Mus musculus: one gene and its partners. The protein of the gene in region 6 purifies or fractionates together with the protein of the main gene of each other region. This does not show direct contact. Links are inferred from orthologs where the notes say so. Each region holds a gene or a part of one and is shown on either strand. Other genes may lie near its edges.

Region 1 (3,500 bases), on a different chromosome or scaffold from region 6:
CTGTAGCGTCGTGGCCCCGCCCCTCGACGTCTTCACCCCCTCACCCCCCTCGACACCAGAGCTAAAGTCGGGCTGTCTACGTTTCAGTCCTAACGGTTGCCGCGCGGCGCTGGCCTCCGCGCAAGCGCGACCTGACACACTCACACGCACGCACGCACGCACGCGCCCGAGGCGGTGGTTAGAGGCTCTCCACGCAGTGGACTAGGGATCGGGCGGGTAAGGCGATGGGCGAGGCTGAAACACCTTCCTTCGAAATGACCTGGAGCAGCACAACCAGCAGTGGCTACTGCAGCCAGGAGGACTCGGACTCGGAGCTCGAGCAGTACTTCACGGCGCGTACCTCGCTGGTCCGCAGGCCGCGTCGGGACCAGGTGGGGAGCCCGGGGGGTGCCGCCGGCGGGTGAGGGGCGGTCGCTGGAACCCCGCCCCTCCCCGGTAAGTTGCGGCCTGGAAAGTTAGGTGATGGGCAGCCTCCCCGCCTCTCCATAGCGAGCCACTCGGAGGGTCCTGACAAAAGCGAGGAAGCGTACGTAGGGTTCTCTGTCCCGAGTAGAAGCCCAGTTCCAGCGCGATGGTACTGAGGACCCAGGCTACCCTGCCCTTGCAGTCACAGACCGGTTGAGCCAGGGGGAAGCAACTCTGAAGCTTGAAGGGTGGACCACAGGCGGGCGTTTTTCACCCATGACTAAAGCCAGACTCGCAATCCAAACCGGCGTCTTGATTTCGCATTTGGGCGCTCCCACTCCCTCCCTGGGGGAAATGAGGAAGTGGAGGAGGAGTCCACCGGGAAGTGAGAAGTTAGTTTGGGAGGGGACTCTGGCCGTGCCGTGATGCGGTCTTGGATCAGCCAGCAAAGTGCCCAGCCGTTGCTCGACCAACTCTTTGACACCAGCTGCTGGACTCGATCTTTCTTTCCTCCATGGTGGAACTGTGCAGAGGGATTTGGGGAATTCAGGAAGAGGGCCTTAAAAGACTATTAAAAAAAAAAAAGTGTGGTACCAGGGCAGCTGAACCTCTTTAAAAAGTCTAGATGTGCCCAAATTATCCGACTTTCTGGGAATATCATAGTTGTGGCCACCAAGCTCGGATAACTTGTTCTGGAGCGGGAATCCCTCGGAACAGCACAGAGGCCAGCGAATCAGGAAAGTGAGGACGGAGACTGAGGTTAGAAAACTTAGTAGCACTGAACTAGAACTCCTTATTTGAGCCAAGAAAGTGGAATTGTCTGTGATGCTGTAGGTGAGATTTGATATAAATTTCCTACAGGTGGACTGCTACTTGACACCTCCAAAACCTTAGTCCAGACTTTAGACTCAATGTGGGGTGGGAGTGGGGGCGGGAGGGTGTCTCTGGGATTGTCTCCATACCACTCAACCTGAGTCATCTTCTATTATGGAGAGGTGGGGGAAAATATAAGATACTGGCCAGTTGAAAGGCATACAAAGAGAAGAATTGTTTAAAAGCAGCTGAAGTTTATAGCTGACTTAGCTGTAGAGTGCTTAGCATTATATGTGTGATGGATGGCCTGACTTCCAACCATTAAGGAACCAAAAAATAAGAAAGAAGAAAAGGAAGCTAAGAAGTCCCAAAGAGCAGAGTAAAAGCCTGAGGGCTGGGGCTGGGCTGCAGGTTCAATCCCCAACCCAGACCCTCCTAGAATTCTCCTGGGACCAGGCACTGCCTAGCGGTGATCCCAGCTGTGTTTGTTCCAATTGCATTCCAATTTAGGGCCTTTCTGAAACCAACAGGAAGTAAGACTCACACTGGGAGTTGAGGACTGACTGCTCTTCCAGAGGTCCTGAGTTCAATTCCCAGGAACCACATGGTGGCTCACAACCATCTGTAATAGGATCTGATGCCCTCTTCTGATGCATCAGAAAACAGCTACAGTGTATTCACACATATATAAAATAAGTAAATAAATCTTAAAAAACAAAACCAAACCAGGAAGTAAGACTCAGGCAGTTAGGTCAAGTGAGTCCTGGCTGCCCTGAGCAGCAGGGTGACTCCACCCTCCCGCAGTTCCTGAAGAACCTTGTCTCTGGGCTAAGTCTTCAGACAGCGAGGGGGAAGAACAGCAGCCTCCCTGCTTGCTGCTGGTAGGACAGGCTCTGCTGGGAAATTGCCTGTACACCTCTGGCAGATGAGAACCTGGATTGAAGCTGCCTTCTATGTAGCTTGAGTCGGGGGGTAAATGGTATGTCCCAGTGTTACTTCACTATATAAGATGTGGTGTGGCTGGTCCCAAGAAACCCACTAAGGCATCTTACATTACAGAGATCAGCTTTCCTCTCCTGTCTACTGTAGTTAGACTGCTGGTGCACCAGCTCCCGTGCTGCCTACCCTCTCTCGGGTCATGTTCTGTGCTGCTGCACTGTGGGAGAGTGGGCTTTCTTCTCCAGAACAAACTGACCAAACTAGTGTTCTGGGTTCAGCTCTACAGTGGAGATGTGATTGTGTTGTGGTTTTAATTTTTGTATGTGGTGGGGGTGGAAATCAAAGGGCCTTGTACATTCTGGGAAATTACTCTATCACTGAGCTACATTTTATCCCCCAAAGTGTTTATACTTTAAACAAGATTTTTCCCTTACAGTCCTTCATGGTTTCCTGGCCCCTGGACATGTGCCTTCATTTATCTGTTTCTGTGATGTCGTTAGGGGCCACAACCAGTGCTGAGGTGGCCCCAGATAGCAGAAAGCCAAACGGATTCTACCTGTCCTTGCTCTCTCCATCTATAGCATGTAAAACCAGGAGCAATGATGGCTTCAGGATGTATGGGTTTGGTGACAGGACCAAAATCAAGTTCCAAGCCAGAAGGACCATCCCCATCCCCACCCCACCCACCAAAGAGCCTTGGCCTTTTCAAGGGCCCTGTATCTATGCTGGCCTGTCTTTCAGGATGAGGCTGTAGAGCGGGAGACACCCGATCTTTCTCAAGCTGAGACTGAGCAGAAAATCAAGGACTACAATGGCCAGATCAACAGCAACCTCTTCATGAGCCTGGTGAGTTGGCTGTTCAGGAATGTGGGAGAACAGAAGCCCAGCTCTGGGCCAGATGTCCAGAGAGTCAGAGCAAAGTATTCTGGGGTGTACCCAAGCAGCTATCTGTGCAGACCTGGCTTTACCCTGCCCCTGGACGACTCAACCTAACTCTTCCATCTCCAGTAGAACTTCCTGACATGGCATGGTTCTCCTTTTCCTTTCTTTCTTTTCAGAATAAGGATGGCTCCTACACAGGCTTCATCAAGGTTCAGCTGAAACTAGTGCGTCCTGTTTCAGTGCCTTCCAGCAAGAAACCACCTTCCTTACAGGACGCCCGGAGAGGTACGGGGCGGAGCACAGCCGTGAAGCGCCGCACCTCTTTTTACTTGCCTAAGGATGCTATTAAGCATCTGCATGTTCTATCACGAACACGGGCACGTGAGGTCATTGAGGCCCTGCTTCGAAAATTCATGGTCGTAGATGATCCTCGCAAGTTTGCACTCTTTGAGCGAACTGAA
Region 2 (3,500 bases), on a different chromosome or scaffold from region 6:
AATCACCTTATATAAGGTCAATACCATCTACTAAGGCTTCAAACGATTATGCAATTTCAGACTGGCAGAACTGAAAGTTCCAAACCTAATCAAAGACTTTAAATAATCTCTCCTACCAAAAGCAATCATCTCCTCTAGGAAGGACCTAATCAACAACAAAAGGCAGCTGAGTTTGCAAGCCTTGGTGCACCTACCTGGGTCACTGGAATGTAGAGAGGCTCTCCATTATGCAGCAGGGTAAGTTTCCCGTGCTGGTGCAGGCGGCCTTCTGGCTTTAAGTTTGCCATCTCCTTGGGACCGCCTTTCTTACCACTCTCCTGTCCGTTTCCTTTAAGGTCTTCCGTATCACTGAGGCATTCAAAAAACTCTTCTTCACTATCACTCCAGGAATCCCAGGACTTCCCTACTTCTCCCTTTTCCTTCTCTGTATCTCTGAGATGGTCCAGGCCCAGCTGGCCTCCAGTTTTCCCAGCATCCCCTGGATATGCACTAGTCGTACTATCCGAGAGGCTCGTCTTTTTCCCTTCATCACGTGCTTTCTTCCTTTCAATACAACAATTTAACATCTGAAGAAAACAGAAATAGCATTTATGGTTGAACTAGAGTACAGCAATATGTATCAATTGCTTCAGTATTTCTTTCTACTTTACCAAGACAGATTACAGGGATTATAAGCAACCCATAAGCAGCCCAAAGAAAGTAGCCTATATAAGTCATTCCTACACTTAAGTGTTAGATTAAGCGTCAGGTTTTGCATATATATATATATATATATATATATGTAAATGATGTAAATGTGTGTGCACTCATGCTATGGAAAACCGTTACCTGTAGTTTCTGATGCAGTAAGCAGCATCTTAGATCTGGTGATCCACTTGCTAGTCTACCAAATAGGAAAAGAAAGCTTAAGTTTTAGTAAAATTATATCACGTAAGCCTACTTACACATTGTCAATTTTTTTTTTTTTTTTTAAGACAGGGAACTGATTTATTTATTTATTATATGTAAGTACACTGTAGCTGTCCTCAGACACTCCAGAAGAGGGAGTCAGATCTCGTTACGGATGGTTGTGAGCCACCATGTGGTTGCTGGGATTTGAACTCTGGACCTTCAGAAGAGCAGTCGGGTGCTCTTACCCACTGAGCCATCTCTCCAGCCCCATTGTCAATTTTTTAAACTATATTGTTAAGAAACCAAAACTAGATTTCCATACTTAAGAAAGCCAGGTTCCAGATTATGATTAAAAGTTCAAAATTATTTTATCCTATCTCACAATCGTCATCAAATATAAAAACCATGTGATATATAAGGGCAAACTCATAACAGCTTCCAAGCTAGTTAGAAACCTGAGTCTAAACTCACCACAGGAAGTAACTAGTGTACAGCACTTTGCATATCACACAAACAAAACTCATATGTACATAGGTAGATTCTCATTAAACAAACCAAGGTCTGTCTCTACATCGCCTTTGCCAGTGAGATCCTGGACTCCCTTTGGTTCTAAATCACTAAATTCCTCCACTCAGTGTGCTTCTGTATGCCAATAAGTTCCAGAGCAAAACAGTAACAGCCAAGAGAGAATCCAGATAAACAGAGACTGGCAAAACATCCTAACACAAAACACTTTCAGGTCAGTGGCCATTAAACTAGTCATATCATCCTCTCCTTAGAATGGGTAGACAACCACTAGCCTACTAGCAGTAATTGGCATGTATGCATAGTTAAGAGTTTATGCAATCAGTAAAATGTCAATATAAAAAGGTTCTAGATTGGGGCTGGAGAGATGGCTCAGCGGTTAAGAGCACTGACTGATCTTCCAGAGGTCCTGAGTTCAATTTCCAGCAACTATACGGTAACTTACAATCATCTGTATTGGGATCTGATGCCCTCTTCTGGTGTGTCTGAAGACAGTGTATTCACATAAAATGAAATAAATAAATCTTTTTTAAAAAAGAGATTCTAGATTATATTTAATGCCTGAAATTATAGAGTACTTTAAAGGTATTTTTCTTCAAATAGAAGTATATGCATAGATAATTTAAGAAATACAAAGATGAAACAAATAAACAAACAAAAATGTACTTTCATACCTGGGAAAACTATTACCACTTGACTGTATTTCTCTCCAATCTTTTTTCTATACCTACATATCAGCATAATTGAAAGCATTCTGTGCTGTATTACAACACCTAGTTACTAATACAGTTTCTATGACTTAATCTTGTTTGTTTGCTGAGACAGGGTTTAACTATGTAGTTCTGGCTGGCCTGGAGCTTCCTATGCAGAGCTCAATGCACAAGAGATCTGCCTGCCTCTGCCTCTGCCTCTGCCTCTCTGCGTCCGCCTCTGCCTCTCTGCGCCTCTGCCTCTCTGAGCCTCTGCCTCTGCCTCTTGCCTCTGCCTCTTGTCTCTGCCTCTGCCTCTGCCTCTTGCCTCTGCCTCTTGCCTCTGCCTCTTGCCTCTGCCTCTGCCTCTGACTCTTGCCTCTGCCTCTTGCCTCTGCCTCTGCCTCTTGCCTCTGCCTCTGCCTCTCTGTGCCTCTGCCTCTCTCTCTCTGCCTCTCTCTCTGCCTCTCTCTCTCTGCCTCTCTGCCTCTCTCTCTGCCTCTCTGCGCCTCTGCCTCTGCCTCTCTCTCTCTGCCTCTCTCTCTCTGCCTCTCTCTCTCTGCCTCTCTGTGCCTCTGCCTCTGCCTCTCTCTCTCTCTCTCTGCCTCTCTCTCTCTCTGCCTCTCTGCGCCTCTGCCTCTCTGCGCCTCTCTGTGCCTCTGCCTCTGCCTCTTGACTCCTGAGTGATGGGAATAAAAACATCTGCCACCATGCCCAACACGCACAGTTTCTACATTAAGGTTCTTGAGGTATGCACCTGTAGCTCAGTGGCAGAGCACTTGCCTGGAATACATGAGGCCCTGGGTTCATGTCTCAATACCCCACCTCAAACAAAGCAATAAGCGACTCTAGAAGAAAGCTTTACAGTCATGCAGCACAATGTTGACATTTAGGTTGTCTGGCCTTTTCTTCCATTAGAAATGTACTGCACTGAACACCTGAGTAAAGATGGATACATATTTCTTACAAAGAATTCCTGAAAGAAGTCAGATATTTGGTGATAAAAAAAAAATCCTAGCTAAACAACTGGAAATTAAAATTATTACCCTGGAATCAGAAAGTTGTTTTCCCATCTGAAACGCATTTCAAGAACAAATTCCTGCCAGAGATGTGCCACTCCCTTCAGCCCTCCATGGTAGAAGTTGATCATACAAAGACACAAGGCCAGTTTGTATGTTAGACTGTCGGAAGGCGCAGACTTGAACTGATTGTAGAGAGTCTAAATTTTACAAAAGAAAAACAAAGCAAAACCTGTTAACAGCAAATTTGCATACTTAAAGAGTACATAAGAAGAATCTTCCATCAAAATAAACCCATCAGAATCTGCTGCAAGACAAACTTAAGAATTTGACAAGAACTCTAAACTACGAGGATCCAACAGCTATGTATACGATT
Region 3 (3,500 bases), on a different chromosome or scaffold from region 6:
GTTAAACCCCACCTATATCCGTGCAATACTGAGGAGAGCTGAATTATATGAGAAAACAGACAAACTAGATGAAGCACTGGAAGATTATAAATCAGTATTAGAAAAAGATCCATCAGTACATCAAGCAAGAGAAGCTTGTATGGTAAAACAGATTTTAAAGTATCGTCTCGGGCTGGGGGTAGTGATGCATGTCCTTAATCCTAGCACTTAGGAGGCAGAGACAGGTGCATCTCTGTGAGGTCAAACCCTGCCTGCTTTATATGACAAGTTCCAGGACAGCCAGAGCTATAGAATGGAGACCCTGTCTCCAAAAAAAAAAAAAAAAAAAAAAAAAAAAAAAAATCAGAAGTATTTCCCGTTTCTTTTGCTTTGTACTTAGTAGATCTTTAGTCTTCCCAGTTACAACTAAATTCTATTTTTATGATTACCAGAATAAATGAGAGATAGGTCTTTGTGATGGCTACTTACTCACTGGGACTATGTACCATTTGATCTCCACATATATGAGCCAGCATGACAGCACACTCCTGTAATCCCAGAACTGGAGGGGAAAGAAACCTGATTTTGAAACCAGCTGGACTATATAGAAAGAAAGACCTATCCCCCGAAGTTAATTAAATAAATAAGCTGTGTAAGCGTTTCTTTTTACATCGGGGTTATTTTGTTCGCTATAGTTACACAGTTTAGTGAGTCTACTAGAATTTTATCTTATTTTATGTGTATGAGTATTTCGCTTGCAAGTATATCTGTGAGCCACATAGTGCTTGGTGCCTATGGAGGTTGGAGGAAAGCATCAGATCCCTAGAAATGAAATTGATGGGTGATTATGATCTACCCTTTTGTGATCTATTTGTGGTCTTTGTCTATTTGTTTAAGATCGTGTCTCATTCTAGCCCAAGTTGACCTCAAACTCATCATCATCTTGCCCAAGCCCCTTAGTTTGGGGTTTTTGAGACTGAGCCTGACTGGCTAGTAACTCTCCACTTAAGCAGACTGGCCTCCAGCTCTCAGTCGTCCTTCTGCGTGTGTCTCACAAGTACGTGGATTACAGCTGTGTGCACCACAACTGACTCAGTCACAAACTTGTCCTAAGGTCTGCCTTTGATCTGGACATTGTTTCCGCCTGAGAATGTGATGGGGCAGCTCAGCAGGTCAAGGCTTGCTGCCAAGTCTGATGCCCTAAGTTCAGTTCCTAGAGCCCACATGATGACAGGAAAAAGTCCGACCCCAGAAAGTTATTTTCTGATCACCACATAAACACAGAGACACACAAAAGAACTGAGCGTTAGAGAAATGACTGGTTATGAGTACTCCCTACTCTTCCATAGGACCCAGCTCAGTTGCCAGAACCCACTCAGGTGGTTTACAACCACTCACAACTCCAGCCAGTGGCTCCCACACACTCTTCTGGCACAGACACACAGAAAAAGAAAAAAATAAACCGTTATTTTTTTTTTTTTTTTAAGAGAACTGAGAATCTTGTCAGATTTAGTAAGAATTTCTTACCAAATGCTTGTTTCTACTTTTTTCCTCAGAGATTACCTAAGCAAATTGAAGAACGTAATGAAAGGTTAAAAGAGGAGATGTTAGGTAAGTTTGCTTCCATGACTTTCTCTCTTGATCATAACAGCTAGGAGACTAGGGTAGAACCATAACTGCTTTCATTTGCTTAGAGAAGAGCGGTTCAGAGTCTCTGAGGTGTGTGCATGAGTGTGTATTGTTTAGACTGGGGTGTGTGTGTGTGTGTGTGTGTGTGTGTGTGTTGTTGAGACTGCTGCTTTGCAGCAGTGCTATAGCGGGACAAAGCCTGCTTGGCTCGGCTGATTTTTAATTTCAGGAAGCACAGTTGGCTTAGAGAGGGATCAGCGTTTTCAGGACCCAGAGTTCTACCTTGGCTTTCACCTGATAATCTCAAAGCCCAGTTGAGTCTTTCCATTGCGTAATCAACGCTTAAGGTTTTATGTTTATATAATCTGGAGTCATTAGAGCCAGTAATGTCAGAATAAAGTGAGTTTGGGGTTGGAAATAGCACTAAAAATCACATTAGTGATTGGAAAGACATGAAAAGTGTGTGGAGTAAACATAAGGGCCGGACGCTGAGGCAATTCCTCAGAGGACCGGAGTTCACAACCCATGTTTAAAATAGGCAGGGTGGAATACATCTGTAACCCTGGCAGTGGGGACACAGAGACAGGAGGACCCCTTGACCTCTGTGGTCTGCTACTCTCACTGGATTGGAAAGTTCCAGGTTCAGGGAGAGACAGGAATAGAGGGTACCCAGTGTTGACCTCTGCACACCAATGCACATGCCCACAAAATGGGCCAGGGGTAGGAGGGGCATTTGGGGCATGGATTCTCTTAGAGTTGCCAGAACGTTTCGTAGTTGGAATCCGAGCCTCTTGATTCCTGCTTTACTAAGGACATTGCATTGTCTGTCTAACCTTTCTCATACGACCCTGCTCTGAAGCTGCTGCACCTTCCTGATGAATACATTCTAAAATGTATTTCTTTTCTTTTTTTTTTTTTTTAATTGGTGCCTTGGTATTTTCCCTGCATATATGTCTGTGTGATAGTGACAGATCCCCAGGAACTGGAGTTACAGACAGTTGCAAGCAGCCTCTGGAAGAGCAGCCAGTGCTCTTAACCGCTGAGCCATCTCTCCAGCCCTCTTTTTAAAATTTATCTATTTCCATTTTTTAGATGAATACATTCTAAATCTTTGATGTGCATTGCAAGGGCATAGACCTACAAGAAAATGAGCATAGAGTACATTAGTTTAGCCATATGTAGTTTAATAACAGTATCTAGAGAGTGTGCGTAGACTTCCCAGTAGATCATTCCGGTAGATGAATTAATGGACTTTTTTTACTCTTAACATCTTTTTGCCCACAAAATTTTTACATGATCCTATGCATACAGTTATGCGTGTATGTGTGTGTGTGTGTGTGTGTGTGTGTGTATCTCAAACATTCATTGATAACAAATCATAAGCTTTATTTGAAATAACTATTTAAGGGGCAAGAGAGATGGCTCAGTAGTTAAGAACATTTATTGATCTTGCAAAGAGCTTTTGGCTCCCAGAACCTACATGGCAACTAACAGCCACCTGTAATTCTATCTTCAGAGGGTCCAATGCTTCTGTGACCTCTTTGGGCTCCTCATGCACATACACTCACACATACATGTAAAATAAAGGTAATCTCTAAAAATGGTAATTCTTTAACATAATTTAGCCTGTCTTCAATGTAAGAGCAAATTTGTGTAATGATAATGAGAAATGCATTTTCCATAGAGAAACAAAACTAGGCTGAAGCATTGCCGCCGCGGGACGTTAAGCATAGTCGTTGTTTTCAGAGTGGCTCGATAGTACGGTTTTAGGATTATCAGTGCTGAGTTTGACACCTGACATAAATACATTCTACACAGTGGCAGGAGTATGTTTAGTGCCATTGGGAAATGTTGCCCTAATCTCAAACCAAAATGACCTAATTTTTTAAAGT
Region 4 (3,956 bases), on a different chromosome or scaffold from region 6:
CTTGAAGGCTGGTAATAATCAAGTTGGATCCACTCTCTGCAAATGAATCTCATCCTGTCTGGGATCTGATTACATTTTCTCTTGTGCCTGGATTCTCCGAGCTACATGAAAGTCCTTGAACTGCCTTCCTGGCACAGCTGCTGTAGCCTTGGCTGGCTGCTCAGGATGTTCATCGTGCCGCTCCAGCACCACCATTCACCACCACGACGTGATGGTGGAACTGTAGAGTATACAGCCTGGCATCGGTTACAACAGCGCCAGGACCCAAAGCCCATCTCCTCCTTAAGTAGCCGGACCACTGGCCGGTTTTCAGAGGAAATCCCACACAAATCAGGAAGCAGACCCCCTCACTCGCAGGCAAGATTTCCTACAACCTCCCTTTAGTCTCCTCTCACCTCTCAGGGTGGAGGGCTGATCCTTCTGCCTTTTAGTCTGTGTATGGTACTGAATTGCCATCTTTCTCTCTTGGGCCTCAGTTTCCTCAGCTATGAATAGAAGAACTTGGCCTTGAATTATATATAAGCTATATAATTCAAGGTAAATGTGCTTGATGAGAGAGGCCAGGCATTCCTCCATACTCTGCATCCTTAAGTCACTGGGTTTAAGGTAGCTAAAGAAAAGAAGGGATATTTGCAGGCTGCCACGTTGCCCAGGAGAGTTGAGAAGCGTGGTCAGATCTTGCCAGAGGTCATCTGCAGAGCTCCTTGGGGTGGCAGCTGAGTAAGAGACAGAGAGGCACCAGGCAGGTGGTCACAGAGGAGGGAAGTCTGGCTTGCTCTGAGGGAAAGGACTGAGACTGTGAAATGGAAAAGTTGTAGAGCAGCCCCAGGCAGCAGTCTTGGGAGGCCTGGCCATTTCTTCACCTTCTGCAGGGCACTCTCCCCATGGATCTCAGCTAGGGACCAAAAGACCCACAATCCAATTCATAGGACCTGGGGCTGCCCTTCTCCCAGAATGAGGAGGGGAGTAGAAAGATTCCTTAGCATCCAAAAAAACAAAAGCAAAACAAAACAAAACCAAAAAAAACCTTGGTCTTGCATCCAGGCTCACCTAGACCCTCCCAGCCATCTTCAGGGAGCTATTTGCTTCCAAGGGCTTTAAAAGGGGAGTACCTTCCTACTTCTCAGAATCATGGGGCAGTAAAGGGCTTAAGTATGTTACCTGGTACACAGGTCAAGAAGAGATTTCTCTAACTACTCTTGCTACTGTGGTGCCCTGGCAAGAGACCTGGATCCGGACGTCCAGACCTGTGCTCACACATGAGCACATGTAGAATGGGTAGCAGAGACGCATGCTCTTCCTTTATGAAGAGCAGGGGTGGGGAGGGACCAAGGCAGGAGAAAGAAGGGAGCAGAGAGCCTTTTCCAGCCTCCTGGTGTCATCTCACTGTGCCTCCCTCGGGAGGGGAGGGGAGGGAAGTGGGAAAGGGGGTGTTTAGATGCATTTGCTTATGCTGTCTCACACAAACAGCCTCTCCCTCACAGGATTCCTCTGCCACACCTGAGTCACAAGGCCAGTCCATGCCAAGGATTGGGACCTGTCCCAGGGTCGCAGGCAGTTCAATGGCACTCACATCTAGAGTGCGGGCAGGTGGTCATGTTCATTCCATCTTTGCCATGCCTATGGGTGGAGAAGTGGGGTTCACACCAGGCCCCACGGGGATGGCATGGCACCTGCCAACGTCACAGGCTGGGAGTGAGTTCATGGCAGATTCTCACACGCCAGAGCTCCCAAGCTCAGGACTGTTGAGACCAGCCTCATCCATTTGTGGCCAGCCCTATGAACACTGGCTTTCCTCAACTTGGCCTTTTAGGGCACTGTAGGGGTCCAGGGCACAGAGTGGGGAGTCCGGGGCTAAACCTGGTCCCCTCCAGGTCCTAACCAACTCACAGGGCCTGACATCAGAGCAGATGCTGGTGAATGAACGCCTGACTGGATGAATGAAGGGACGACTAACACCTACTCCCTGGGATCCTTGGGCTACAGCTCTGAGCTTGCAGGAGAGCCGAGCCCATGGGACCCCAACAGAGGCCCCGCCTGCCTAGCCCGGCACCTGAGGCTCTGCCTCTGGGTCAGGTGGGAGGCGGGGAGGCTCCCCAGCCATAGTGTACCCCTCCAGCGACGGGACCAGTAATCTGGGTCTCTTAACCCAGCTGGTGGCAGGGGCGGGGGACTGTCGCATCCAAGATAGAGAGTGACAGGACAAGGGGGCGCGTCCTGGTTTGTTGGGGCGTGGGATGGATCAGCGACCGCGGGACATCCCCTTTGGGTTCCGGTGCCGGGGTCTACTCCCCCGGTCTCCCGGAGGGCAGCGACAGCTCCGAACTGCCGACTGGACTGAGGAGCCGTGGACCTGACCCAGTGCAGCGGGGCAAGCGGGATGCGGTGTCCCACGAGGTGACTGGGGGCGCGGGAAGGACGCAGGGCGCGCGGAGCCCCTTATGCACGCCCCGGGGTCCGGGCGGGTCGCCGCGGTCACTGTGCCTCCGCCCACCTGGTTGGGGGGCTCACCTGGGCCGAGCGATCCCTCCCGCCACCCGCCGAGCGCCCCGCGCCGCGCTCACCTGCGCTGCCCGCCTTGGCCATGTCCCGGGCGGCGGGCTCCGCTGTGCTGCCGGCGCTGCTCGCTCCCGGCCGGGCCCCGGCGCCTTCGGCCGGAGCGGACTCTCCGGGCGCCGCGCCCCGCGCCCCCGCCCCGCTCGCTCGGCCGCCTCCACCGCAACCGCCGCCGCCTCGCCGCTCCCTCCCGCTCCCTTAAAGGAGCCGAGCGGCGACCGCGCCGCCCCCCCTCCGCGCCGCCGGGGAGGGACTGACGACGGAAGGCGCCCGACACCGCCCCCGCGGGCCCGCACCCCCGCCCGGAGCCGCGCGGCCACCGCAGCGCGCGGGAGGCGCAGCCCACTGATTGCGGCCACTGAGACCCCGACCCTCGCTGAAAGACAGACGTAGACAGACTCCGGATTACAGCTCGGAGACGCTGCGGGCCAGGCAGGGATGAAGACATGGACTGCGAGCCTGGGGCGCAGTGACCCTGAGACAAGGCACCAGAAAGAGGCGCTCCTAGGGCAGAAACACCCTTGGGAGAGAGAGAAATTCAAGGAAATCGGAGCTGGCTAGAGTCTGTGAGGACAGGGAGAGCAAGGAAGACCAGGACCCAGGAGACTGAGAAACCTAGAACGAAGTCTCGCAGAGATGAGAGGGGACTTCTCCATCAGCTCCCAACTCCAGGGATGCTGGATGCCTGCATCTGCTCTAGTCTCAAGAGAGGAAAGCTTTTGTCCTTTAGCACTAAAGGATCCGTTAAACCTGCAAACCCCACCTGCCAGTAAACGCTAAGCAGAGTTTGTGGGGAGCCTGGCAGAAAGCAGTGTGTCCCCCTAACACTTTCTCACAGAAGTGCTGACATTCTAATTAGCGGGCCTCCTGAGACATTTAAATTGTGGTTTCTGCCCACTGCAGTCAGGGGATCCACAGGAGATGGTCAGTCGTTTTAGATGGGGCCTAGAAGGTAGGGTCCTGGAGAGAGCAGTCGGCTCCCTAGCTCAGTTCCAGGCGAGGCCACTTCCTCCCTGCTGACGGTTAGGGTGAGGGCTAGGCTCCTTAGAGGACTGTTGGGCCTTCCCTGAAGCCTGTTTTTCTCCCACAGTCTGCAGCCAAGCACCCACACTGGGCACTAGACAGTTCCACCCCTAGGCCAGCCAGGACTTAAGTGCCCCATCCACTGCCCCATAGAAACAAAGCACACAAGGGGCCTCTACGGGACACACCCATTTCTGGGCTTTGACTCCTTCAGCCTATCCAGGTTAATCAGCCTTACACTCCCTCTTTAGTCTATCAAAGGCTCAGCCTCAGGCAAGAGTCTTCCCGAAACTTTTGCACAGAGCTAGCAGCAACAAAGTTCTTCACCTCAGCGAAAGGAAGTCTGTATCGCCTACTCATGGACCTCTCCCTGCTTT
Region 5 (4,210 bases), on a different chromosome or scaffold from region 6:
ACTCTTTACAGCTTCTTGTGACTTGAGTGGAGCAGATGAGCCTTCCAGCCAGAGGGCCAGGTTCCTTAATGAAGCCGGGAACTCCACAGTGGTAAGAACAAGAGAATAAACTGAGGGTCAGCACATCTTTGTTGAGGGTACAAGACTCACACTCATCACTGCCCCTCTCTGCTCCTTGGGAATGGGAGGTAAGGAGGTGACTCAGGTGCCCGAGGTGGGCAAGAGTGCCAAGCAAGAGCAGGTATGAACCACAGTGTTCACCCAGTGTAAGGCCTGATGAGGACTTTGAGGCTAGAGGTGAAGGGTTTGAGTCTGGGGATCAGTGGTGAGGACTCCAAGGATGCTAACTAGGCTTTGAAGCTTTGAAAGCAGTGAATGCAGGGCAAGGAGGCCTTACTGGAAAATGAACAGTGAGGACATGTCTGGAGGGTACAATGTTGCCATTAGCTTGTCCTCATTAGGTTAAGGCCAGGGTCCACTGGGACTCAAACCAGCTCTATCCTGACCCAGAGATGGTAAGTAGGCTAGAAAGACAGGGCAGTATTGGCCTGGTGTCCTGAAACAAGAAGCTTCAGGAAGGAGCCCTTTGCCAAACTGCACCTGACATCCTGCCCTCAGATAAGGACCTAATGGTCTCCATCACTGGGGAACAGCCAAGAGCTGCGTTTGAGCACAGCTTGGTTCTCTCTACCCTTTTCTGGCGCAGGGTTCAGGCATGTGAGGTGCACCAGGTTCTGCTAGGTGGGATCCCAGCAAGCAGTTGGGCTCAGGACTAATCTGTATCTGGTCTGTGCACATGGAGAGCAAGAGTGTGGAAGCAGTTGGAGCTGGAGCTGGGCCTCGGCCCACGACCCAACCTTCAGTCTACAACTGGACAGCTGAGCATCCCACCCGCAAGACAGAACCGGGCCAGAGATGGACCAGGATCGCCAGCGGGACTGGGGGGCAGAGGAAGACTTCCACGAGGCTTAGAGGCAGCAAATTGTCCAGCCTTGCGCCGTCTGAGGAGATGAATCAGCTTCCGGCTCCGCCCCCGGGGCCGCACGTGACCCCAGGTGAGGGTGGCAGGGTGGGCGGGACCGCCCTTAGTCACCGGCGGTCCAGCCCGGTGCCACCACCAACGCCTGTGGTTCCTCGGGTCGTCCGGTCTGCACGGCGCCACCTGCTTGGTAAGCAAGTCCCTCCTCCGGGTTTGCGAGCCTCACTTGGGCTGGCGTCCCGGCTCTTACTCCGGACTGGGGCGAGGGTCCCCGTCAGCCCCAGCTTATTCCCAGGATTCCGAGAACCTCAGGCGGATCCCAAGACAGAGGCAGAGGACAACCGCGGCCCTGGACGGCTCTGGCTAACCTCGCCACGCCTCGCTCCGCCCACACACTACCCGCCACGCCCCTTCCTTCGCCACGCCCCCGCCCGCCCTCTGACCCCGACCGCGGTCTTTTGCTGATTCCCTCAGGTGCGGTTCTCAGAGGCGCCGAGGCCCCGGAGCCTGAGAGCGCGGTGCCCGTCGGGCCGCGTTCCCACAGCGAGGGCCACCATGGCCTTCTCCCAGGTGCAGTGTCTGGACGACAACCACGTGAACTGGCGATCCAGCGAGTCGAAGCCCGAGTTCTTCTACAGCGAGGAGCAGAGGCTGGCCCTGGAGGCCCTGGTGGCCCGGGGTCGCGACGCCTTCTACGAGGTGCTGAAGCGCGAGAACATCCGCGACTTTCTTTCGGAGCTGGAGCTTTCGCGTATCGTGGAGGCCATCGAGGTGTACGACCCGGGCTCTGAGGACCCGCGGGTCTCGGGCCGCCGCCCCGAACCCCAGGACAACGGAGGCGCGGATGCCAGCGAGGAGACCAGTGCGGCGGGCGGGCCCCCAGCCACGGAGACGCTGCCCTCGCTGGAGTATTGGCCCCAGAAGTCGGACCGCTCCATCCCGCAGCTGGACCTGGGCTGGCCTGACACCATTGCCTACCGAGGTGTGACCCGGGCCAGCGTCTACATGCAGCCACCCATCGACGGGCAGCCGCACATCAAGGAAGTGGTGCGCAAGATGGTCAGCCAGGCGCAGAAGGTGAGGCGCCACGGCGAGACCCCCATTCACCCAGCACGCATGGGCACCGAGACAGCCCCTGGACCTCTGACTGGCCTCTCGGTTGCCTCCTCCGGTGATCAGAAGCTGAATGTCCACTCCCTCTAGCAGGTGGCACTGGGCTTCCAGGCTGAGTGGGCTTCTGTGCCCTCCTGGAGTGTTTCTGAGTTCCCCAAATGCAAACCATGAGCTGTGTGGGAGGAATGCGGCCTTTCTCTCACCCACTCTCCCTTATCTCGTCTCAGACCCAGGAGCAGATAGAAGCTTGCACACATACATGAGCTTGCTGGCAGGGGTCTCGGGAGAGACGTGGAGGCTGGTCTGGAGCCCTGAGGAAATCTGCCTGCTTCCTAGCTGTGCTGTGTGGCTGGTGGTGGTTCTCCAAGCTTTTCTCTGAGTGCTACAGTAGCAGCAGCTGTCCAGGCCAGAGCAGGTGGTACCTATTGAAGGTTTTCACCAGTGGAAGAGGTGAGGGTATTTACTTAGGTTGTGGTTTGCCATCAAGAGGCTCTTCAGGCCTTGTGTGGATTCCCTTAGCTGACAGCCGTTGACTGGGCTGCACAGTGCCCGGCTTTGGGTGACTGCTCCATACTGACACACACACATCTTGAGAAGCTGTGTACAATGCTTGTACAGACAGTCAAACCATAGCTGGGTGGCCATGAATGAGCAGAGGTGTGCCTGATTTGACAGGCAAGGTAGCCCAGCAAGTTGCGATATATCTAGAGCAGGTCTGTCTTCAGGTGGTAGTGAGAGTGTTCCTACCTGGGTCTGACCCCTTCACTGTCCGGGTCCAGAATGAGGCAGTCAGTGTACAAGGCCAGGTGTCTACCCTGGGGACTGATCTGGCTGACAGGGCCTGGGGAGCTCTTGGGCAGAGACCAAAAGTGGGTCAGTAGCTGAGGTGGCTCAGCTTTCCCCCAGAGTCGAGGCTCTGTCCATGGGGCCACTAACTGAGGGTTTCTAGTCTGTAGGTACACTTTGCATCTCTAGCCATTGTGATGGTAGGGTATTGGGTGGCAGGAAGGAGGAAGGACTGAATAATACTCTGGACACCTGAGAATAGTTGGGAGTCTGTTGCCCCTAAAAAGGGCCAGGGGTGACTCCCACTGTGGCAGAGCCCAGTCCCTTGAGAGGAGGGAGAAAGACTGAATGGGGCCCAACCTGCTGTGCCAGTGCTCTTACAGCAGGAAGGAGGCCACGTCCACTTTCCAGCTTGGCCTGGGAACAGCTACAGGCTCTAATCTTCTGCAGACAGAATGACATAGGGCCAGTCAATGATAAGGACAGATAGGGGTGCCTGGGGCCAAGTTGTACCCTTAGGGCTTCCTGTCTACATCATTGTGCCCACAGCTGTGATGTAGCCACTCCTTGCAGACCCATAGCTTCGTTTGCACCCAATTCCACTCCCCCAGGTTTGTTATTGATGGCACCTGTCTACAGTGACAGAAAGACATTGATCTTAGTGTGAGCCCCATCTGTGTGTGTGGCACCAGAGTGGGTGACTTCTGACTGCCTATCGTGTAGAGGCATTGCCCTCTGCTACCTACACCTGGCGCCTGTACCCCACAGCAGGGAGTCCCATAGGAACCTCAATTGACAGAGGGCATGTCCATTTACAGAGATCAAGAGTTTGTTTACACCCCCACCATGCTGTCTTGGGCCAAGCCCCTCCCCTGTGGACCTGTGTGAGTCCCTGTTCCCCGATCTTTGTCTTATGGCCCACACAGTACGTGGGAAGGCTGTAATAATAGCTTTGGTGGAGTATGAACACTTTATAATCTCAGGTAGTGTTATCTGCCTCTTTTTTTCACATGGAGAAACTGAGACCAGACTCATTAGTTGTCCCTGCCCAAGGTCACTTAGACCTGTTGCACTCTGGGATCTACCCAGGCGTTGTGGTACCTGGTAGCAGTGACAAGCAGGACCTGGGAGGAGCAGCTGACCTAGGTGGCTTGAGTCTTTACTCCTCGCTACTGCTTCCCAGCCTCCTGGGGCAGGCCCAGACGCCGGTGGATGCTGACAGAGCGATTTGCCCGCCCTCTCCTTGCTCCTCCCTGTAGGAGCTCTTCTGTCTTCTCTCTCACCATGAGTCACCTCTTGCCCTTCTCGCCCACCTCCCCTTTTTACCCCATG
Region 6 (3,500 bases):
ATAAAACAATGTGATGAAAAACGTGACAACAGCATCAGCAAGCAATCCACACGACTGTCTTCTCCACTTTAGCATGTCTAAATGGTTTCTAAAGAACAGTATTTCAGGCATGGTGAGTGGAGCACACCTTCAATCCCAGCAATGGAAGAGGCAGAGGCAAGAGGATCTCTGTAGGTTCAAAGCCAGCCTGGTCTACAAAGTTCCAGAACAAGCCGAATCATGCCTTGGAAAAAAATATATATCAAAAAACAAAACCTTTTAATTGTTTAAATTTTAATTTTGTTCTGATATTTAATTTTTGGCAAGGAAATATGGATTGTTGAGAGCTAAACAAAGTTTAAACTACATTTCCAAAAATAACTTCTGTACAACTTCTACACTTACCACAGCTTCCATATCTGAAATGTTTGGTGGAGCAAAAATTGTCTGTACCATGAACTTATGTTTACTCTTTTCATTCGGATCATAATCAAAGGGTTGCAGCATTACTAAATAAACAGAGAAAGCACACTGTCATCTACAGTTTACGTCCTATTTAATACCACCACACTAACACACAAACTTAATGCATACCAAGATGGGTTCAAAAACTTAAATTATCCTCAAGAGGCACAAGCAGCCTTTTAACTTTCAATTATTATTAAATTCATTTTGTGTTGATTTTAATTTAGATAACTTAGACACTTTTAATATAACTTATTTTTAAACTGGATTTTAAACAATTACTCAGAATGTGTTCATTTGTTTAAATCTAATTTTAAGAAAACAAAGGATAACTGATTGGTCTTTAGACTTTATTCCCAGATCCCAATAGCATTCACTTTTACGTCTCCAGACCTGAGTTGCCTGTACCAAGTTTTAAGGCTCCAGTTCAATTTATGTTACGTAAATCCAAGATGAGGTGATAAACAAATCAGTAATTACTAATGTATATTGGATACATTTACAGTCAGGTTCTACTTCTAAACAGTCTCACTGAGCCTTAAATAACTTACTATTTTAATATTCTATAAACTTGAAAATAAAAGCTGTAGTTATCTTAAAATTTAGGGATCACCTAAGTTATCAGGTCACCAAGAATTTTAATACACACATTTCTAACTCCATGATCTGTAATGACATAATCCATTTTTCCTGAGCCTTTTGTAATTAACAAATGCAGGAGTTGAAAGCTATTGTTTTTTTTGTTTTGTTTTTTTTTAAAAAAAAAAAAAAAGGAGTAAGTCTGTGTGAGCACAGAGAGGTTTTCCCACAAGTTAAAGTCTCATGGAGCCACACATGCTGTCAGACCTGCCACCTATGGCACGTGTTACAAAGTACTGTCTCCTTGGAAAGGCTGTCTAAGAAAGGAACATTTGGATAGCACAGTAGATCTCACAGCAGGAATACGTGATGTGTATGGAAGGAACTACTGTAAGCAATAAACAAGGAACAAGACACTGTTGTCATTTACACTGAAAGGAATAAAAACTCATCTGATTTTAAAAGTAGGCCCAAAACAGGCATTTTTTTTTTAAGACTCAAACGCTTCTGTAGATGCACAGAACATGATTTAATCACAAAACAGTGCCATTTCAAAGATAAATAAGAACACAAGCTACAGTGGAAAGCTGTGGAAATACAGAATAGATAACATTTCAAATTGACCCTAGGCAATCATACACTCCCACGTAAGTCTCGAGGAGGAAAGGTTCAATAAAATGTCTGTACGGTAAGATACCCAAGGAACATCTTTACACAAACACTGAAGCCAAATAATAAACAGATAAAAACACTAAACATCAAATGCAACAGTCATGAAATGTCAATATTCAAACCTACAAAGGTCTAGGACATGGAGTACTACCTGAAACAGTCACAATTGACCCCGGGTCAATAATCCCACTGTTGGGCCGCACACAGTACCGGCGAGGTGCTGTAGTCTTCACTTTGAAACACACTTTTCTATCCGATGGATTTTGCAATTTAAGATTTGTAGTGACTACATCTGTGAAGGGGCCTGAAAGGTAAGGGGCAGACAGAGAAAAGATTAACTGGAGTCACAACAAAAGCATAATTCAAGATTAAGTTAATATAATCTCAATCCCACTTTTCTAAAGAAAACAAAAATTGTCTCTCTTTTTTTTCAACTTTTGATGATTTCATCCATAAAATAACTATGATTTTTGTTCTTTAATTTTGGTTACATTTATCATGTTTGTGTTGCACATATGAACATGTACATGTCACAGTACGTATGTGGAGATCAGAAGACAACTTTTTACAACTGGTGCCCTCCTTTCGTTATGTGGGGTCCAAAAATCCAACTCCAGTCCTCAGGCTTAGCAACAAGGATCTCCATCCAATGAGCCATCTTGTCAGCCAAACTGTACTCATATAGCATGTTCATAACACATCACATGACTGACACAAGTCCCCCAGTGGTCTTCACCAGTGCTAATCTTTACGTTCACAGGCCAACTACAAAACTAAAACCTGACAGTACTCACTTGTCTCAATTCATTCATGCACGTGTATTAAGTACTTATGAGTGGTATGTCATATGCTCTATCTAAATACGAAGTCTTGTCTTAAAGCTTTAATTCTGTACTCAACAAAACGAATTCAAAAAGCTGACCCAGCTCTACTTAACCAGTATATCCTCAGTTTTTTGTTTTGTTTTTAAAACGGGCTGTGAGATGTGAAGATAAACTTATTTGGTTTCATCTGAAAAGCCAAAACAGATTATACAGTCTAAGTTTCACAGCAAGAATTTCTTGTTGATTTTGAAGGCATTTTAATTGTTTTAATGGTCTTGTAATGGTTTTCTTGTTTAATGGTTTTAAATGGCCTTTTAAACATCTATTTTATGCTTTTGCTTTTTATTTGTCAAAGGAGTGATATTGATGATCTTAACTAGAGCACTAAGAAGACTACTGGAGCATGGCTACAGTCCCACATTCAACCACCAGCACCAAAAAGGGAGGGAAAAGTCAAGAAGCCTGAAGGAAAAGACATTATAAAAGCCTTCCTATTTTTATCTAGCCTTTTTCATTCCCTTATTTGTCACTTAGACTGTATGTCTACATGCACAGCATCATCAGGATCAATGCTTTCCTACCATGTGGGTTCAAGGGATTGAACTATTTTCAAGCTTGGCTGCAAGCTCCCTGAACCAGAGTCACCTTCTAACCTGTTTGAGTCATAAACAAAGACTATGTTTTTTAAAACTTTGCAACAGTCATACTTTGAAATCTAGATTTAGAAAATTCACCAACCATGTACAATAAACTTTGAGTGTTGGTAAACTGTCTGAGACAAAGACTTTTTAAAGACAGACTAAATGTGCCTAATGCCTAACATGAGAAAAAAAACAATTTCACAAAAGTGGGAAAATTTAAAACTTAGTTCAAGCCTTGAGAAATAAGCTTTTACTTGGAGTGCCTGTTTCATTTTATGCCACTCCTTTCTTCTGTAGGCGATCTTATACTCTTTGCTGCTACCCAATTGTTGGTTTCTGA
Region 7 (3,500 bases), on a different chromosome or scaffold from region 6:
ATGGAAATGGAAACCTGTGTCACTTAAAAGCCCTGCACAGCTATTACATCATTACGGTAATTCAGTGGTGCAGGGACCGCCCTCAGCAAAAAGCGCGGCACTTGCTGCCCAGGTTGAACACGAGCACTGCACAGAGAAGCGGTGACAGCCAAGTCCATACAACTCTCTATTTATTTGTGAATGAGCATTTAATAACGCTCCCAATGAAAAATGGTGCAATAAAGCAACTTTTAGTATAAAGAGACAAGAAGCTGTGAAGCAGTGGCCACTGGGCGCTGCGGCTAGGGAGAGAAAGCAGTCTGCGTGAGTGAAGCATGGACTGGGGAGGAGGCACAGGAGGCGCGGGTCAGACGGACAGGGACACGAAGCTGTTGTACTGCTGGATGTTCCGCTTGAGGATGTCTGAGCACGGGCCAAGGACGCGTTCAAACCGAGGCCGGTCCAACTTAACGCACTTCAAAGGGCCCCGGGCAACCACAGTGGCAGCCCGAGGACGATTCATCAGCAGGGCAATTTCACCTGGAAAAGAGACAGTAACGACTATCACCTATGGAAGCTATTTCCTTAAAGGGTCCACTCCTGAGCAAGTGAACAAAGATGCAACTTCCCTACTAACTTAGTAGAGGCCACACAACATTTGTACATTAAAAAGTATTACTAGCAAATAGATAACACAGCCCCTACAGTCATGCCTACAAACCAACACTCATGAGCCAGAGGCAGGAAGGTGACCAGTTAGAACAAGCTTCACTGTACAATGAAGTCCAGGCAGTCGAGGCTATGTAGGACATAAGCGCAAGTGCGTGTGCGCATGCATGCTTGGTCTGTGCTCATCTATTAACTGAATAAAGTTAATGTTACAGTACTTCTCTGAGAAACAAGAAAGAGTATAGGTTAAGAAATCTACCAGGTATCATGACTATAACCCCAACACTTAGGAGGCTAACTAAGGCAGATCTAAGAAGGCCGGTCTGCACTGTTACCAAAGACCCTGTCTCAAAAACAATAAAGGCAGGGTGTGGGGGTGCCTACATTCAATCCCATCACTCTAGAAATGGAGACAGGTGGGTCTCTGAGTTTGTGGGCAGCCTGGTCTACAGAGTGAGTTCCAGGCCACACTCTGCCCCAGAACTAAGTAAAGGAAAGAAAACAAAACTAATTATGGGAAACTACACTGTCCCACAGATCCTTAAACCATGTATTTATGAAGAAATTTAACATACCAAAATAATCAGAAGGCCCCAGTCGTCCCACTTCAACAAATTCTTCGTTTTCTGACCGACGCTGCAGCACAGCAGCTGTGCCCTGTAATCACACCAACGCAAGAAGCTAAACACACGGTCCTAACACATACTGTGCAATCGCCGGTTCCTGAGTGAACTGAGCAGTTATTTCAACGCTGACTTCCACTGAACCAGCATCCACCCCGCTATCAAGGCTCGTATCAAGCTCAGGCACTTACAAAGGAGTTCAGACTCCGGTGAGTAAAGTTTACGTAAAGGGTCAAGCTCAAGCCTGCTGCATCTTTGGAAATAAGATTTTAAAGACTATCACACTCAGGGCTCACATCTCCATGGCTGCATCTGCAGTGCGACAAGAGTTCAGACTCTGAAGCTGCCATCTGGACCTGCTTGGCAAGCAGGATGATAGGGAGATGTTTCAGTAACAGTGACTTTTAGAATTGTCAATCATTACTAACTAGCCTAAGCACTTTGGCTCAGAATCACCGTATCTGTTATGGCTGAGGGGCTTTTTAGTGTAGTAGAGAGCCATCTCACCAATCATGTCTAGGGCCCTTGCAGGATTCTGACTCTAATTCTTTAAAACTGTAGCAGACTATACACAGCAAGCTGTATTCTGAAGTAAAAGATAACGACTAAATAAAACTAAAGCTACAAATCAGAACTGGCTGCCCCTCCTTTAGGTGACGCATGGTAAGGAGTCACTCGCAGAGCTCTCTACCTCTAAAATGATGAAGAACTCATCCCCCGGCTCTCCTTGCACCACGATCTTCTGTCCATCTTCAAACTGGACAGGCTCCAATGCATCGGCTACTGTGAGACGCTCCCACTTGTCCAGAGACTCTGAAATAGAAGAATCAAAAGAATTCTCTATATATCTGCTATTGCTAAAAAATAAAGTAAAAAAATAAAAGTTGAGCAAAACCAAACTCTACAAAGATGCTACCAACTAGAGTCCCCACTGCACATCCCAGGAAAAGCCCCGGGTGAAGGCAGCCACAGCACATGTGTCCTCAGCACATGAAGGCCAGCCACAGCAGCTGTCCTCAGTGGCTCCAAGCCTCAGCAGGACTCGCCTACTTCTGCAGACGGCCCTCAGAGCCTTCCTTTTACTGTGTTAGCTTTTATAAAAGTGCTAAGAAAATGCAATTCTCAACATTACCATCAAGCGAGGCAAACCTTCACGTAACTAAAGAAAACAGCTTCCCCATGCACACCATTGCAAAGGTTCAAAGTAGCTTTATCCATATAACGGCTCAGCTGAGTTTACCTTGTGAATGACAAGGAGCTAGAAAATACCTTTTGTTTCCAAAGACCCAACTAATATTCTGAACACTAAAACAAATGACAAGTGAGGTGAGAAAGTCTGCAACGAAGCAAAGGCAGACTGTCACCTACCCGCTCACCACACAGGGCAGGTTGGAACATCTCCAGTTAATGTAAGGAATCTATAGAGATATGTCAATTGACAAGCTCACTTTTAAATTCCAACAGGCGTGGATCTTTTCAAAAGAGGCCACCAAAGACATATAACTGCTCAGACAAAACCCATCAGAAGCCATTCCTAGGAATCCTAGGAACAGCAGCACAAGCTGCAGTAGCAGCAGCTGTGACTATCCAGAGCATAGACACTCCTGTAAAAGGAAAGGGCAGCATCTACGCAGTCACGAAGCTTTTCCACACCTCATTATGGAGGTTTAAAAAATTACCATTTACTTTACCAAACTTTCAACACTGTCAAAATGCTGTATGATCATGATTAGCAAAAGCGAAAACAGTAAAAATTTGAAATTGAAAACACACATGAACTACAAGACGTATGTAAAAATCTGTGCAAGTACCACAAATGCTCGAGTTTATCAATTCTCCATATAATTCTCCAACTCACCTAAAATAGACACTTTACTAAGGAATTCTTCATACATCTTCCTCTTTCGCAGAGTGCTTCCCTATAAATAAAAAAGTTATGTCCAAAAGAGATGTGATTATCACACAATGTTGCTCAACAATTTATGTTTACATTTTAAACAAACTAAAAGAAAAGTAAGCAGGAAGGCGTCTGCTCCTGCTTCTCGACTCTGACCCATTTTCTCTGTACTAAGTGTGAGCCCTGCACTCTGTACAAAGCTCACTGCGAGGCTCCTAAAGCAGGGGCAGGCACGCAGCCCACGGAGGGGCACGGCTCTAACAAGGAGCGAAATGCCAAGCAGTTCTCTCACGGCACCCAAGTGGCTAACAAACGACTGCCACTGAGACCTC

Evidence for each region.
Region 1: the proteins of Vapa (region 6) and Rassf1 purify together in Homo sapiens (co-immunoprecipitation; 3 studies listed by BioGRID and IntAct, counting the BioPlex papers as one, with this or other methods). This does not show direct contact. The link is inferred for Mus musculus from reciprocal best matches to the Homo sapiens genes VAPA and RASSF1.
Region 2: the proteins of Vapa (region 6) and Rab3gap1 purify together in Homo sapiens (affinity purification with mass spectrometry; 4 studies listed by BioGRID and IntAct, counting the BioPlex papers as one, with this or other methods). This does not show direct contact. The link is inferred for Mus musculus from reciprocal best matches to the Homo sapiens genes VAPA and RAB3GAP1.
Region 3: the proteins of Vapa (region 6) and Ttc1 purify together in Homo sapiens (affinity purification with mass spectrometry; 5 studies listed by BioGRID and IntAct, counting the BioPlex papers as one, with this or other methods). This does not show direct contact. The link is inferred for Mus musculus from reciprocal best matches to the Homo sapiens genes VAPA and TTC1.
Region 4: the proteins of Vapa (region 6) and Pitpnm3 purify together in Homo sapiens (co-immunoprecipitation; 3 studies listed by BioGRID and IntAct, with this or other methods). This does not show direct contact. The link is inferred for Mus musculus from reciprocal best matches to the Homo sapiens genes VAPA and PITPNM3.
Region 5: the proteins of Vapa (region 6) and Fam83g purify together in Homo sapiens (co-immunoprecipitation; 3 studies listed by BioGRID and IntAct, counting the BioPlex papers as one, with this or other methods). This does not show direct contact. The link is inferred for Mus musculus from reciprocal best matches to the Homo sapiens genes VAPA and FAM83G.
Region 7: the proteins of Vapa (region 6) and Prkar1a purify together in Homo sapiens (affinity purification with mass spectrometry; 3 studies listed by BioGRID and IntAct, with this or other methods). This does not show direct contact. The link is inferred for Mus musculus from reciprocal best matches to the Homo sapiens genes VAPA and PRKAR1A.

The regions. Positions count from the first base shown.
Region 1 is NC_000075.6:107,554,555-107,558,054, forward strand, and holds part of Rassf1 (ras association domain-containing protein 1), read left to right. Parts: intron 1-28; exon of another isoform or gene 29-224; coding exon of another isoform or gene 225-371; intron 372-2,898; coding exon 2,899-3,003; intron 3,004-3,215; coding exon 3,216-3,500. UniProt on the Homo sapiens protein: Potential tumor suppressor. Required for death receptor-dependent apoptosis. Mediates activation of STK3/MST2 and STK4/MST1 during Fas-induced apoptosis by preventing their dephosphorylation.
Region 2 is NC_000067.6:127,927,773-127,931,272, reverse strand, and holds part of Rab3gap1 (rab3 GTPase-activating protein catalytic subunit), read right to left. Parts: intron 3,325-3,500; coding exon 3,152-3,324; intron 884-3,151; coding exon 829-883; intron 567-828; coding exon 195-566; intron 1-194. UniProt on the Homo sapiens protein: Catalytic subunit of the Rab3 GTPase-activating (Rab3GAP) complex composed of RAB3GAP1 and RAB3GAP2, which has GTPase-activating protein (GAP) activity towards various Rab3 subfamily members (RAB3A, RAB3B, RAB3C and RAB3D), RAB5A and RAB43, and guanine nucleotide exchange factor (GEF) activity towards RAB18.
Region 3 is NC_000077.6:43,734,509-43,738,008, reverse strand, and holds part of Ttc1 (tetratricopeptide repeat protein 1), read left to right. Parts: coding exon 1-142; intron 143-1,535; coding exon 1,536-1,590; intron 1,591-3,500.
Region 4 is NC_000077.6:72,133,090-72,137,045, forward strand, and holds the start of Pitpnm3 (membrane-associated phosphatidylinositol transfer protein 3), read right to left. Parts: upstream 2,801-3,956; 5' UTR 2,587-2,800; coding exon 2,565-2,586; intron 1-2,564. UniProt on the Homo sapiens protein: Catalyzes the transfer of phosphatidylinositol and phosphatidylcholine between membranes (in vitro). Binds calcium ions.
Region 5 is NC_000077.6:61,683,000-61,687,209, forward strand, and holds the start of Fam83g (protein FAM83G), read left to right. Parts: upstream 1-1,410; 5' UTR 1,411-1,534; coding exon 1,535-2,056; intron 2,057-4,210. UniProt on the Homo sapiens protein: Substrate for type I BMP receptor kinase involved in regulation of some target genes of the BMP signaling pathway. Also regulates the expression of several non-BMP target genes, suggesting a role in other signaling pathways.
Region 6 is NC_000083.6:65,593,056-65,596,555, forward strand, and holds part of Vapa (vesicle-associated membrane protein-associated protein A), read right to left. Parts: intron 2,000-3,500; coding exon 1,847-1,999; intron 489-1,846; coding exon 385-488; intron 1-384. UniProt on the Homo sapiens protein: Endoplasmic reticulum (ER)-anchored protein that mediates the formation of contact sites between the ER and endosomes via interaction with FFAT motif-containing proteins such as STARD3 or WDR44.
Region 7 is NC_000077.6:109,664,449-109,667,948, reverse strand, and holds part of Prkar1a (cAMP-dependent protein kinase type I-alpha regulatory subunit), read right to left. Parts: intron 3,191-3,500; coding exon 3,130-3,190; intron 2,085-3,129; coding exon 1,963-2,084; intron 1,306-1,962; coding exon 1,224-1,305; intron 520-1,223; coding exon 347-519; 3' UTR 1-346. UniProt on the Homo sapiens protein: Regulatory subunit of the cAMP-dependent protein kinases involved in cAMP signaling in cells.